Saccharomyces cerevisiae S288C: one gene and its partners. The protein of the gene in region 2 purifies or fractionates together with the protein of the main gene of each other region. This does not show direct contact. Each region holds a gene or a part of one and is shown on either strand. Other genes may lie near its edges.

The links.
Region 1: the proteins of NAM8 (region 2) and YHC1 purify together in Saccharomyces cerevisiae (affinity purification with mass spectrometry; 5 studies listed by BioGRID). This does not show direct contact.
Region 3: the proteins of NAM8 (region 2) and SNU71 purify together in Saccharomyces cerevisiae (affinity purification with mass spectrometry; 8 studies listed by BioGRID). This does not show direct contact.
Region 4: the proteins of NAM8 (region 2) and PRP39 purify together in Saccharomyces cerevisiae (affinity purification with mass spectrometry; 7 studies listed by BioGRID). This does not show direct contact.

Annotation. Positions count from the first base shown.
Region 1 is NC_001144.5:724,191-727,316, reverse strand, and holds YHC1 (Yhc1p), read left to right. Parts: upstream 1-1,900; coding exon 1,901-2,596; downstream 2,597-3,126. Other genes in the region: ECM38 (gamma-glutamyltransferase), read right to left, coding at 1-1,248; YLR297W (uncharacterized protein), read right to left, coding at 2,884-3,126. UniProt on the Saccharomyces cerevisiae protein: Component of the spliceosomal U1 snRNP, which is essential for recognition of the pre-mRNA 5' splice-site and the subsequent assembly of the spliceosome.
Region 2 is NC_001140.6:276,496-280,250, forward strand, and holds NAM8 (Nam8p), read left to right. Parts: upstream 1-1,657; coding exon 1,658-3,229; downstream 3,230-3,755. Other genes in the region: IPI1 (Ipi1p), read left to right, coding at 269-1,273; YHR086W-A (uncharacterized protein), read left to right, coding at 3,736-3,755. UniProt on the Saccharomyces cerevisiae protein: Component of the U1 small nuclear ribonucleoprotein complex (U1 snRNP) involved in the initiation of meiotic recombination. Involved in the formation of DSBs at recombination hot-spots through meiosis-specific splicing of REC107 pre-mRNA.
Region 3 is NC_001139.9:512,607-516,986, forward strand, and holds SNU71 (Snu71p), read left to right. Parts: upstream 1-1,947; coding exon 1,948-3,810; downstream 3,811-4,380. Other genes in the region: nicotinamide-nucleotide adenylyltransferase NMA2, read left to right, coding at 1-126; MCY1 (putative cysteine synthase), read left to right, coding at 553-1,734; MSB2 (Msb2p), read left to right, coding at 4,337-4,380. UniProt on the Saccharomyces cerevisiae protein: Component of the U1 snRNP particle, which recognizes and binds the 5'-splice site of pre-mRNA. Together with other non-snRNP factors, U1 snRNP forms the spliceosomal commitment complex, that targets pre-mRNA to the splicing pathway.
Region 4 is NC_001145.3:179,959-183,933, reverse strand, and holds PRP39 (Prp39p), read right to left. Parts: upstream 2,461-3,975; coding exon 571-2,460; downstream 1-570. Other genes in the region: pheromone-regulated K(+) transporter PRM6, read left to right, coding at 2,859-3,917. UniProt on the Saccharomyces cerevisiae protein: Function prior to stable branch point recognition by the U1 snRNP particle to facilitate or stabilize the U1 snRNP/5'-splice site interaction. Has a direct role in the assembly or function of a catalytically active spliceosome.

The DNA of each region.
Region 1 (3,126 bases), on a different chromosome or scaffold from region 2:
TTCAAAATCGCCTAACCTGCTTCTTGCGCTTGCCATCCATTTCATGCTTTCAAGCAAATGATAGGTAGTTTCTTTTTCATAATCGCCCCCTTCTTGATTCTGGAAATTATCCATTATCCTTAACGCCGCAAGTAGTGCAGCCCCGGAACTTGAGCCGCTACTTGTTAATACGGTCATATCGTTATCAGGGATGAAATTGGCGCCCTTCCTAATTTTCATGGACAGTGGTTTAGTAACATGAACATCATACGATGAAACATCCTGCAAGTTCATTATTCCATTGTATTTTGCGACAGTATCAATCATGGATTTTGCAATCCAGTGATCGGGGTCATAAAATGGGGCCACGGAACCATTTTTAGCCAGTTCCATTAGCATGTTAGATAGTGCCGGCCTCTTGATCCAATCGCCTTCTTTCAAAACACCGTCATGGGTAGAATTCAATACAAACGACCAATCTTCCTTCAATGTCAGGAAAACATCCTCATAAAGTTCTAAAGTGGCACCGAGTGCTTCGCCTATTTGCCAACCCACGCTTCCCAGCTTTGCGACTGGTTCAATTAGATCACGCCAATCAACTTGGCCGCTACCTCTTTCTTTAAAGAGGCGATAGAGACCCATCAATTCACCTGGAACACCGACAGCAAGACCCCCTATTTTTGAGCATAGAGAGCAGTTTTCGAACATGAACTTATGTGAATCCATGGGTGCTTTTTCTCTAAAATCAATGGATAGATGATCTTCATCGTCTTTGCCAGAAAAAACTACGTAGCCACCACCTCCAATCCCACTATTAAAAAAATTCACCATACCCTTACAAAGAGCTTGTGTTACTGCAGCGTCTGCAGCGTTAGAACCGGGAAATTTCAGGAGTACCTCATTTATAGTCAAATTACTACAGACTTCTAAATCTGAACTTATAGCACCATGCAAACCGACTTTTAGAAGTTGCCTATCAGGCGTTAAACTAGGACGGCGAGGTAAAGGGTCAATATCGATGTTATGGTGATCCTTATCGCCGCCATCATCATCGTCGTCTTTTTTCAAATATTCTGCAATAATGTCAACATCTCGATTGGCAGACCCTCGAAGGAGATTATTTATTCTCTGCAAAGTCTCCTGAGAGGCGAATGATACCATTTTTGACGGCATTCCGGACACTAACACACCCAGTGTTAACAGAGTGAATATATGCAGTATAAAACAGGTATTTAAAGTCTTGGGGACTTTTCTATTACACAACAGCATAACTGTAAGTCTAGTACGCTACTTTTTGTCTTGTCTTTTTGTGTGCCTGACAACGCCCCACTTGAATCTGCGTTAGCTTTTTATTCTATTATTTAAGATAACTGTGCAACAGGAAGTCACGATCGAACTTTACGGAAGAATTATAATATTGAGAAGTGCTAGTACACACAGGCGCACACACACATATATATATGTATCTATATACGTGTATGTAGATTTGGAAGTCGAATAGATAAATGCCGTTATGTTCCCTCAGAGAAAATTGATAAGCGGGCAAAAGGCGGCACTAAGACGTTCGAAGGGGCGGATCTTTTCTTTTGATCAACAACAGGCACAGCCGCTGAGTAATATAGTTATGATTTTTCTAATCTCATGTAGGTAATAAAATCTTAAAAGTTATTTTTATTTTCACTCTTTTATATGTGAATAGAGACACTTGTATAGAGATAATAAACGGTTCAAACTCTTTTCACTTTCATATGTTCCACACAGTACCTTATCATTGAACACTAGATTTCCGCAAGTGTCAAGGTACATAGGCGGGTAAGCGTTAAGGATAACAGAAAATATTCTTGCTATACTGAAGATATAATATGAGCTCCTAGTGTAGGCGATGAAGGTGCTCAAGTAACGGAGAGGAAAGAGATAGGCAATGACGAGATACTATTGTGAATACTGTCATTCGTATTTGACCCATGACACGTTGAGCGTTCGTAAATCGCACTTGGTCGGTAAGAATCACCTTCGTATAACAGCTGACTATTATAGGAACAAAGCAAGAGACATTATTAATAAACATAATCATAAAAGACGCCACATTGGAAAAAGAGGCAGGAAAGAAAGAGAAAACAGTAGTCAAAATGAGACGCTAAAAGTTACATGCCTTTCAAATAAGGAGAAAAGACACATCATGCATGTGAAGAAAATGAACCAAAAAGAACTGGCACAAACCTCAATAGATACCTTGAAATTGTTATACGATGGCTCACCAGGATATTCCAAAGTATTTGTGGATGCTAACAGGTTTGATATAGGAGATTTGGTTAAAGCCAGCAAATTACCCCAAAGAGCCAATGAAAAATCTGCACACCATTCCTTCAAGCAAACTTCAAGATCCAGAGATGAGACGTGCGAGAGCAATCCATTTCCTAGGTTGAATAACCCAAAGAAGCTAGAACCCCCAAAGATATTATCACAATGGAGTAACACCATTCCAAAAACTTCTATATTTTACAGTGTAGATATACTGCAAACCACGATCAAGGAGTCCAAGAAGCGGATGCATTCCGACGGCATACGGAAACCGTCGAGTGCCAACGGATATAAAAGGAGGCGGTATGGAAATTAACGCTATCAGATTAGATTATTAAATATTATATGTAGACTATATTTTGCCAAAAAAAACAATAGAGATATCAACAACGAATGAAAATGGTATGATGAGAATAAAAAAAAAGGAAATAAAAAAAGGAAAATTAAAAAATTGAGATTAGTTGAATTGAAAAAGGAAAAAAAATGTTTGGTATGCGATAATTAATTGAATGTGCACGATCGTTACTATCATGAGAATTAAAATTTAAAATGTCCAACTTTCGGGCGTGAAGAGCGGTGCCATCTATTATATCTATTTTTATTTCATGCTTTTTCAGCAAGTGCTTGCTTTTCTTCATCGTTGGACTGTAGTTTCTTATCATTACTGCTGCCTGAACGGAGAGATATGAATATCATGCCAATCAACCCAAGTAGTAAAACTCCAACCACTACAATAATAAAAGATATTATGAAAACAGCGAGTATGTTTTCCAGTGGTTCATTATCGAGGTTAAAATTTGAGAGATCCGGGGTCCCAGAAACGAGTGTGTGCACATCTCCGCTTGC
Region 2 (3,755 bases):
CGTCACAGTATGTAATATAAATATCAATGAGTTTCTTAACATGACCTCCAAAACTACATGATCGCTTAGTATTACAATATGTGTTTATCCACTATTTTGATACCAACGTAGTATTGCCTTTTATTTTTCAGAATGGCAAAGGCCATCGGAAAATTTTTCCACCAGAAAAAGCGAGATTCCTAATTATAAGGTGAAGGCATCGATGTTCATAATAGTTAAAAGTTGTAATCAAAAAAGAAAAAGGTGCAGAGATAAACAAAGTTAATAAATGACAAAATCAAGAAAGCAGAAGCAAAAAAAGCAGGATTTTTTGAGAAAAAAGTTAAAAGTTGGTAAGCCAAAGGAAAAAGCAAGGAATGCTACCGATACATCTTTCGTTTCCAAGACTATTTCTATTAGAAATCAACATTTAGACCAAAATCCACATGATTTAACAAAACGGCTAACGCTCTTAAAGCATCATAACATCAATGTGAGAAAGGAAACATTAACAACATTCCAAAAGTCAATACCGTCTATAATAAAATCTCGACTTATGACACCATTACTTACTCAAAGTATACCGTTGATTTGCGATGAATCGCAGCAAGTACGTCAGGGACTTATTGATCTCGTAGATGAAATAGGTAGTCACGATGCGGAGATTTTAAAATTGCACTGCAACATTTTTGTCTTATACATTAACATGGCAATGACACATATTGTTACACAAATTCAAGCAGATTCTACTAAATTTCTCTCTCATCTGTTGAAGTATTGCGGAGATGAAGTGGTTAGGAAATCTTGGGTAAAACTTTTGAACGGTGTCTTTGGAGTGCTCGGTTGGGGACAGGTAGGGAAAAATGATAGCGCTAGCATAGTGCAAACGAAGAAGCGAAACGCCAAATATGTCACTATTCATCTCAATGCTCTGTACACTCTTGTTGAATACGGATGTCAGGATGAACGCGCTAGAAGCGACGGAGACACGGCAGAGACTACAGAGGACAGCGGTACGCTACGAAACCCATATTTAATCCCAGATTATCCGCAGCCGTTTGAGCACTTGAAACTATTTACCAGAGAATTGAAAGTTCAGGATGCTACCTCCAGTGGAGTAAATGCCACACTACTGTCATTGGCAACACAGGATATCGATACTCGAAAAGCGGTATTTATCGAACAATTCCTGCCTATAGTACGTAAGAAAATCGAAGTAATTATCAAGGAAGGTGGTGAATGTGGTAAAAGTGCAAACAAGCTTAAAACGCTGCTTGCAAAAATCTTTGATTGACGTTTCATAAGAATACAATATATAATTGATAGATTGTACTTTTTTTTTTGTTACCCTCAGGAGAGGCAGGGCGAAAAATGCAGAATCTTGGATTTTTTTTAAGTAGATCTAAGTTTGTTTATTTTTCAAATACTATTGGCACAAAGGGAAGGGCTTTTCAGGGATTATTCAGATTCGAGTTGGTGGTGAAATTGTGTGTGCGTACATCCTTATATCAGAGCTTTCCTTTAGTGACAACATTTAAATCGACGTGACCTTATTCGGGTAGTCAAACACCGAACCATATTCTTTGCCCTTAGGTTACTTTCCCTTCATTTTATCAGCTTAGTCGATTAAGTTCGTGTCTATATCCCGTCAAAAGTTCCTAATACATTGCGGGTACAAATGTCCTATAAACAAACAACATATTATCCTAGCAGGGGTAATCTGGTAAGAAACGACTCATCTCCGTACACTAATACTATTTCCTCAGAAACCAACAATAGCAGTACAAGCGTATTGAGTCTTCAAGGCGCATCTAACGTGAGTTTAGGGACCACTGGTAACCAATTGTACATGGGCGACTTGGATCCTACATGGGATAAGAATACCGTTAGGCAAATTTGGGCATCTCTGGGAGAAGCGAATATTAATGTCCGGATGATGTGGAATAATACGCTTAATAATGGGTCGAGATCATCAATGGGTCCAAAGAATAATCAAGGATATTGCTTTGTTGATTTTCCCTCATCTACTCATGCAGCAAATGCACTTTTAAAGAATGGTATGCTTATACCCAATTTTCCAAATAAAAAATTGAAATTAAACTGGGCTACATCCTCATATTCAAACAGCAACAATTCTCTTAACAACGTGAAGAGTGGTAACAACTGTTCTATATTTGTTGGAGACTTAGCACCAAATGTTACAGAGTCTCAATTATTTGAACTTTTCATTAACAGATATGCTTCTACTTCTCATGCCAAAATTGTGCACGACCAGGTTACCGGGATGTCTAAGGGCTACGGTTTTGTAAAGTTTACCAATTCTGATGAACAACAGTTAGCTCTGTCAGAAATGCAAGGCGTATTTTTAAATGGTAGAGCCATAAAAGTAGGACCCACATCTGGTCAGCAGCAGCATGTCAGCGGTAACAACGATTACAACCGTAGTTCTTCGTCACTAAACAACGAAAATGTAGACTCGAGATTTCTTTCCAAGGGTCAATCATTTTTAAGCAATGGAAATAATAACATGGGCTTTAAGAGAAACCATATGTCTCAATTCATTTATCCAGTCCAACAGCAGCCGTCTTTAAACCACTTCACTGATCCGAATAACACCACTGTGTTTATCGGAGGATTGTCATCACTGGTGACTGAAGACGAATTACGTGCTTATTTCCAACCTTTTGGCACGATAGTCTATGTCAAAATTCCGGTAGGCAAATGTTGCGGGTTTGTCCAGTATGTTGATCGGCTATCGGCTGAGGCTGCCATTGCTGGGATGCAAGGGTTCCCCATTGCAAATTCAAGAGTTAGACTGTCTTGGGGCAGGTCTGCTAAGCAAACAGCGTTGCTTCAGCAAGCCATGTTAAGTAACTCTTTACAGGTTCAACAACAGCAACCAGGTTTACAGCAACCTAACTACGGATACATTCCATCCAGTACGTGTGAAGCACCTGTTCTGCCAGATAATAATGTTTCATCCACGATGCTTCCTGGATGTCAAATTCTGAATTATTCTAATCCATACGCTAATGCGAATGGATTAGGCTCGAACAATTTCAGTTTCTACAGTAATAATAATGCTACAAATACGCAAGCTACTAGTTTACTGGCTGACACTAGCTCTATGGACCTCTCAGGCACGGGTGGCCAACAAGTTATCATGCAAGGAAGCGAAGCGGTTGTTAACAGCACTAATGCAATGTTAAACCGTTTGGAACAAGGCAGTAATGGTTTTATGTTTGCTTGAGCCACACGTGTATATAAAAATGTTTGTTTTCCTTTTGGCCCTTTTTCTTTCTTGGTATTTTCTTTACTTCAGTGTTAAATTGTATTTGGTCTTAGGCTGACGGTGATATAACAGCGCTTTATTTTCTTTTTTTCATTGCTTTTTATCGTTTTCAAGATTCCATGTCCTTTTATTAAGTCTTTTTTGTATCGTTATAGTTGCGTTTTTCCTTTTGATTTTCATTTCTTTCAAGGTTATTGTTATTCTTAATTCAATTCAAGATTGTACGCTTTTAAGCATGTTTATGATTTTCCTTTATTACTTCCATTTACCTTCTTTCCATCACTACTCATTACGGCCTGTCAATTCCTTTTTTGCGTCACCTTCATTTTTTCTTCTCTGTTCTTTTCTGTATTTGTCGAAAATTTTATATTGATGTATCTTAATTTTATTTTTAGTATTATTATACTGTAAATGTTTCTTACTGTGTCAAGATTTCCCGTTGCGCTATCTTCCAAGACTACGTAATGCGTTTGTCTCTCTATTC
Region 3 (4,380 bases), on a different chromosome or scaffold from region 2:
TTCATCAGACGTGGAATGTCAGTTCAATATCTTCTTCCAAACTCTGTCATCCGTTACATCCAAGAGTATAATCTATACATTAATCAAAGTGAACCGGTCAAGCAGGTCTTGGATAGCAAAGAGTGAGTTTATTACAACTCTGATACTGCAGCAGTTCAAATTTACCACTTTCCTCTTCAAGGTGCATAGAAAAAAAGTTCCTGGATGCACGATTTAAAATGTTTACAGCAGAGCAACAATCATGTGAACAATGTCAAACATTTATTTTAACACTTAATAATTATAATATAACCACACCAGCGGTAAGTTTCATAAGGAAAACCTTTCAGACAAACATTCCAGTGAATCGTATACGTAAATCAGCAAAATTAGCTTATAAAATACAGAATCCGAAGATACTTGATCTACTCGCGTTACTATTAATGCGGGTAATGATCTATATTGAATTTTGCACGTCTATAGTAACTTAAAAGTCTTGTAATATTTGAAGTAACAATGCCGTATAATACTGCATAATAGCCCTATCAATCGGAATATACCAAAACATCCTTTATGTCCTGTTCTCAAAATAAGACTTCTGTCAGTCTGGCCTGGCGTGAATGCATATCCATCGCTTCCGTCCTAATTGGCGCGTATGCATCATACAAATACTATAAGCTGTTCAAAACACGCGATATTCCACGTCCAAAAGAAGGCGTTGAAGAACTCATAGGAAACACTCCTCTGGTTAAGATCAGATCTCTTACCAAGGCTACTGGAGTTAACATTTACGCTAAGTTGGAGTTATGCAACCCAGCAGGAAGTGCTAAGGATAGAGTGGCTTTAAACATCATAAAGACGGCTGAGGAATTAGGCGAGCTCGTCAGAGGTGAACCTGGCTGGGTATTTGAAGGAACAAGTGGGTCGACTGGTATCTCTATAGCAGTGGTCTGTAATGCGTTGGGTTATAGGGCACACATTTCTTTGCCCGATGACACATCGCTAGAAAAATTGGCATTACTAGAAAGCCTCGGTGCTACTGTTAATAAGGTTAAGCCCGCTAGTATTGTCGATCCAAACCAATACGTAAATGCCGCCAAAAAGGCATGTAATGAACTAAAGAAGAGTGGTAATGGAATAAGAGCAGTTTTTGCCGATCAGTTCGAAAACGAAGCCAACTGGAAAGTACATTACCAGACCACAGGCCCAGAAATTGCCCATCAAACTAAGGGAAATATTGACGCATTCATTGCTGGCTGCGGTACTGGTGGCACCATAACTGGTGTGGCAAAATTCTTAAAGGAAAGAGCAAAGATACCTTGCCATGTCGTTCTAGCGGATCCACAAGGATCTGGCTTTTATAATAGAGTCAACTATGGCGTGATGTATGACTATGTAGAGAAGGAAGGTACTAGAAGAAGGCATCAAGTTGACACTATCGTAGAAGGGATTGGGTTAAACAGAATCACTCATAATTTTCATATGGGCGAAAAGTTTATTGATGAATCAATACGAGTCAACGATAATCAAGCCATTAGAATGGCAAAATACCTATCGGTAAACGACGGGCTATTCGTGGGGAGTAGTACAGCTATTAATGCGGTAGCCGCTATTCAGGTTGCAAAAACGCTTCCTCACGGCTCAAACATTGTGATTATTGCATGCGACAGCGGTTCAAGACACCTAAGTAAATTCTGGAAAGAAGCTAAAGAAATCGATCACGACGTGTCATTAGAAGAAGTAATAAATATCTAACATAGATGTATAAATCAGTACTGAGTTATCTTCTATTAAATTGTAGGAACAAATATAAAAAAGCAGTTTTCGCTGCTACATTTTTTGCTACTTTCCGTGGTAATGATGCCCGCTAAAAAGTGCAAAAGTAATTAGATAGATCAAGAACAAAAACAGACCAGGACCAAAATCAAGCTCATAAAAGTTCCTTAAGAGTACGTCGATTTACAGAACATGAGGGATATTGTATTTGTATCACCGCAGCTGTATTTGTCATCACAGGAGGGTTGGAAAAGTGATTCTGCCAAAAGTGGGTTCATCCCTATCCTCAAAAATGATCTACAACGTTTTCAGGACTCATTAAAACATATAGTTGACGCCAGAAACAGCTTATCAGAGACACTGCTAAATAGCAACGATGATGGGAGTATACACAATTCTGACCAGAATACTGGTTTGAATAAAGACAAAGAGGCTTCAATAGCAGATAACAATAGTGCTAACAAGTGCGCCACAAGCTCTTCCCGTTACCAAGAGCTCAAACAATTTCTTCCCATTTCCTTAGACCAACAGATTCATACAGTATCTTTACAAGGTGTCTCTTCATCATTTTCTCGCGGACAGATAGAATCATTGCTAGACCACTGTTTGAATTTAGCGTTGACTGAAACTCAAAGCAATTCCGCATTGAAAGTAGAAGCTTGGTCTTCTTTTTCTTCGTTTTTAGATACCCAGGACATTTTTATAAGATTCAGTAAGGTTGATGAAGATGAGGCATTTGTTAATACGCTGAACTACTGCAAAGCCTTATTCGCGTTTATTAGAAAGCTACATGAGGATTTCAAGATTGAGTTACACTTGGATTTGAACACAAAAGAATATGTCGAAGACCGAACAGGAACTATACCGAGTGTTAAGCCAGAAAAGGCTAGCGAATTTTATTCTGTTTTCAAAAACATTGAAGATCAAACAGACGAAAGAAATTCAAAGAAAGAACAGTTGGATGACTCTTCCACACAATACAAAGTGGATACAAACACTTTAAGTGATTTGCCATCGGATGCTTTGGACCAATTGTGCAAGGATATAATAGAATTTAGGACAAAAGTTGTCAGTATAGAGAAAGAAAAAAAAATGAAAAGTACGTACGAGGAAAGTAGGCGTCAAAGACACCAAATGCAAAAAGTTTTTGATCAAATAAGGAAAAACCACTCAGGAGCCAAAGGGAGCGCCAATACAGAGGAGGAGGATACTAATATGGAAGATGAAGATGAGGAGGATGACACTGAAGACGACCTTGCCTTAGAGAAGAGAAAAGAAGAAAGAGACCTGGAAGAATCAAATCGTAGATATGAGGATATGTTACACCAATTACATTCCAATACAGAGCCTAAGATAAAATCCATTAGGGCTGATATCATGAGTGCTGAAAACTATGAGGAACATTTGGAGAAAAATCGCTCATTATATTTGAAGGAGCTATTACACCTTGCCAACGACGTTCATTACGACCACCATAGATCTTTCAAGGAGCAAGAGGAAAGAAGGGACGAAGAGGATAGAGCTAAAAATGGAAATGCAAAGGAACTGGCGCCTATACAACTATCGGATGGTAAGGCCATATCTGCAGGGAAGGCTGCCGCCATCACCCTTCCTGAAGGCACTGTGAAGAGCGAGAACTATAACGCGGACAAGAATGTGTCTGAGAGCTCAGAACACGTCAAGATCAAATTCGACTTTAAGAAGGCTATTGATCACTCAGTTGAAAGCTCTAGCGAAGACGAGGGATACAGAGAGAGCGAGCTACCTCCAACAAAACCCTCCGAGAGAAGCGCGGCAGAGGACCGTTTGCCATTTACAGCAGATGAACTGAACATAAGACTAACTAATCTGAAGGAATCGCGCTACGTGGACGAACTGGTGCGTGAATTCCTCGGCGTCTACGAGGACGAGCTGGTGGAATACATTCTTGAGAACATCCGCGTGAACCAGAGCAAACAGGCCCTTTTAAATGAGCTAAGGGAGACTTTCGACGAGGACGGGGAAACGATAGCTGATAGACTGTGGAGTCGTAAAGAATTTCGCTTGGGGACCTGAAACAGAAGGGCCTTGGCGCGCGTCCCAAAAGGGAAAGGCTCGCTCTGAAACAGGCGAAGACACGAAAACAAATTACCGTTTCGGGGCGTTTTGCAGCAAGTGGCTAGACACGTCGGGCGTTGCCAGATCAAAATAGCACCAGTGGGTGTTTTTTTACTATCTCATCTTCGTGCTGATATATATAACTTTTATACATTTCCATAGTACCAAGTTCTTTATTTCCTGCATTTTTACATTTATAATAGATTACCAAAACTATTCGACCTCACCAAGGGACCCCATAATATTGCTAAAATAATCTTACCTGTTTTTTACCATTTTTTTCTTTTTTTCCAGAAGTAATAAGCTCTCTCTTAGAAGAACTAAAAGCATCTGACTTCGGCTCGTTCCAACCGACCAAAATATTTGTGAAAATATTATTCATTCCTTTAACGACTTATTGTGTATTCTGTTCATCTCTAGCTGGCTTCCACCTCGTTTCCTATTTTTATTGACTTTTCATTAGGCTTCCTAATTATACCCATCTATGCAGTTTCCATTCGCTTGTCTCCTATCGACCCTTGTAATTAG
Region 4 (3,975 bases), on a different chromosome or scaffold from region 2:
ATCGTTGGGCCCCCGGTTCGATTCCGGGCTTGCGCATATTTTTTTTTAATTCACCAAAAATATTTAATGTTTAGAAGTTGTTTTACATATTTGGACGTTTTCAAAATATCCTGACGATAGAAACAATCATTAATAGTCTTTACATATAAACAATATTTATCAAATTTTTCTGATTATATAACCATCAAAAAACACAGAAAAGGCCTGTCATTTCGATTTACGTAAACTAAATTAATAATAAATTTATTTCATCTACCTGTTTTACTCTTCATATTATTTGATTTCTGCGATTTAATAGAATCTTACCAACCTCTAATGTTTTTTGAATATATTTTAATTTAACAGGTTCAATAGTTACTTTTTTATTATAAATAATAACTTAAAATATTACATAAACTATTATTTATATTATCATACAATAATTTATTATATAATTATTTATTAACTCTACCAATATAGAATAAAACATTTTCAATAATAAATTATAAACAAGTAAATATTTGGGTACTCCTTCGGGGTCCGGCCGAGTAAATTATTATTTTAAATATAATTTATGATTTATGATTAATTTCATTTACCTTCCTTAAGAAATTCTTCAGTGTATAGATCATTAATCTTGACCTGATTAATTTTCTCCAAGTTTCTAAAATTAGGCAAACTGATGGGCTTTTGAATCAAAGTTCCTGAATTGCACTCAATTATACTGTTGGATATCTGCGGTCTTTCTGTCGTTATGCCGATGTGACCAGCCTCCTTCCATTCCGTCTTTTTATGCCAATCTACATTTGCTGTAGTATTTAATACTGGATCGTATTTTGGATTCGACATTTTCAGCTCAGGGTACAAGATAGGGTCAAATGTATTTGAATCTATAATGGAGGATTCATACGTGACGATATTTGAATGAGTTAAATAGAAAGTCTTATAATCCGTCAAAATATCATTCATTACTGTAGTCGGCAAGTATATTTCTACCCCAAGCTCCCTAATGAATTTATTCAGCTTGGTAAAATTTACATTACTCTTTTCAAATTTGTAGTAAGTTAACCAGAACGGTACAGAATTTTTAATGAGGATGTTTTTTTGATAAAGGTTGAAATATTTCCTTGTTTGCATATTATTTTTAAGTACAAGCCATGTAGTTTTTATCAATTCTACCACGACTATGCTTAAGTTTTTATCATTTATTAAGGTCTGTAAATGCACCTTGGCATCAATTTGATTATTGATGTAGTTGGTGATTGATGTCTCTAGGATTTTAGTAAACGATGTTTGTTTCTCTAGAATTTCCTTTGGCGATTGATCTAAGGAATTCTTAAAAGAATGTCTTTTCAACATACAAAGGTACTCCGTCATAAGTAATATGTCGTTGGGCCAAATCTTTAAATAACGCGATACTGTCTCATTGAATATGTTATTGAATAAGGTATTATTTGACCGATATTTTCTTTTCAAAAACCTAAGAAAATCATACCTCAAAGTTTTGAAATCCAGTGGTAAGAACGTATTGGCTTTTTGGTATATATCCACTACCACTTCATCGGATATATTTTTCTTTGTTAGCCACTTAATATACATCATCCACGTATTTTCATGGTAAAGACAAGGAATCAAACATCTGTCAAAAACGGACATTACGAATTCTTTATCCAAGGATTTTGAAGGATCCGTCACAAATTTTAAATATCGCGACCAATTTTCCAAATCATCATTTAACACTTGGCCCAGGTTGAAGAAGGGCTGTTTGATTTTCGATTCGAACTGCCAAATTTCATTTACTGTTGTTTGTGTTTTTCGTAAAACTATATCAATATTCCTTGTTGTCTTCAAATTTTTTTCATTTAAAAACTTCTTGTAAGATGTGAAAAACCGCGCATACTGATGTAGAGGAACTTCAATAATGTACTCGTATATTCTTTGAACGTTATGCCAATTCTTCTGCCCAACTTCAAATTCTATAAACTTGTCCCAAAAAGGGTGTGATAGAAACTGCTTGCCAATAAGATCCTTTGCAATTTCAAAATTATTCCTAATAAAATCCGTTTCGTTCGGGTTATTAACACACAACACATTCAAATAATCACACCATAACTCCAGAGAAGTTGGGAACCATTTGACCGAGGTGGCCAGAACAGCAATCGATTTCTTGAGACCAAATAACTGGTACTCAATAGTAGCAAACCTCTTCCAAAATCCAAACAATAAAGGGTACTTACGCAATATTTGCCATAAAATAGTTTCCAAGGCCAATTTGATTGAATCATTTGGATTGCCATATTTAACCACTGTTTGCTCTATAACATCTACCATTTGGGTCAACGAAGAAATATCTGACCAGTCTAAACCACGATATGCTTGTACTAATGCTGTGTTGTCTTGAAGGAACTGGGTGTCCAAACCTCGAAGGGCATCAGGCCTAGGCTCAATATCTTCTATTGTAAAATTTGTTTCATCTGGCATAACGAAAGACGGATTGCCAAGTATCCAATAGCAGTAAGGGCCAAAACTTTTTGTTGAACAAAGAAATGGCTGTGGAAGGCGCGTTTTTACTTTAGGACTTTGAAAACTTTCTTGCGTAAATTCTGTTTAAGTCTGAAACTTTCAACTCTGTATTAAATTTGTTTTAAGATGTGCGACGGCGACGTAAAATGGTAAAGAAAAAGAAAATGAATGATAGTAAATCATACTGAAAACGAATGATCTGAAACAATAAAAAAAGATATTTGTATATAAATTATTCAGCCATGCTCAAACCTCCAGATTAAAAATCAATAATGGATTAATTGAAAGCCCTGGAGCTGGCATTTTTTACCACATTGTCTAAGAGGGAAAGGAAAATGACAACAAAGCGCTAAATAATGGAATCAAGTTTACAAAAATTGAAATTCCAGGATATTGACATAAATCTTATTCCTACTGCGAAGTGGACCACAAAATTACAGTATATTCTATACACCTGGTGTCAGTCGATACTACATGTGGCCATGTTTTTTTCTGATATATACACGTGTATTAAATTACTGGCATTTAACACATGGTCGAACAATATCATCCAACCATTCTTGGAATTCCGTATTTCAAAATGGTTGTTTAGCGGATGCATATTATGCTCCTCATTAATATTAATTTGGGAGTTGGTAATTGGATTGAGAGTGTATAGGAAGAAAGAGATTACATCGAACTACATGAATGGCATTAGCAGATTAATAAATTGCTTGTTCAATTTCAAAAAGTATCAAATTTTCGAACTAATAGTGCTGACTGATGAGAAAAAATTCAGTAAGTGGTTATTCTTTTCATATTTTGAAATCAGTGGATGTTTGAGGCTATTGTTCGGTGACTCTCCAAGGCAAATAATCAACGGATTAACTTTGTGGTCAGTTTTACTGACAGTTTCGAATGAGACCAGTAGCGGAACCCATAGTACTCAAAGCCTAGGTAATTTAGATGACCTAAATGGAATAATAAACAAGATAAAACATATTGCTAAGACAAATTACGAAGAAAGTGTGATCTTGTCCTTCATGTTGTTCTCGTTTATCATATGGGTAATTTTAATAAGCAAATTAATTCTAAGCATAATAATATTCATCATTTTTATACGTCCGAGATTTTTGTCTAGTAAAAGGAAGGTTAAGGGGTATGAATTGAAACTACGAAAGTATGTGTCTAAAGTCATTGACGAGAATTTAAGTAGAACTGTCTACGAATTGGGAATATTGATAGATGATGAGGAAGAAGGGACCATATGTGGTGACAACAAAACGCAAAAAAAATTCGATTATGATAGTCCTGATTATGGCGACGAAAGCACAATACCGAGTTACTACTGCTACTCGGATGTAGAAACGTACGAAAGAGTATATACGCCCATAAAGGCATATTTCCCCCAGAAATACAAACATAAATACATATAAATGTAAACGAAGCTTTTTTTGACTGCAAAAATGCATTAAAAGTAAATCGATTCTCATT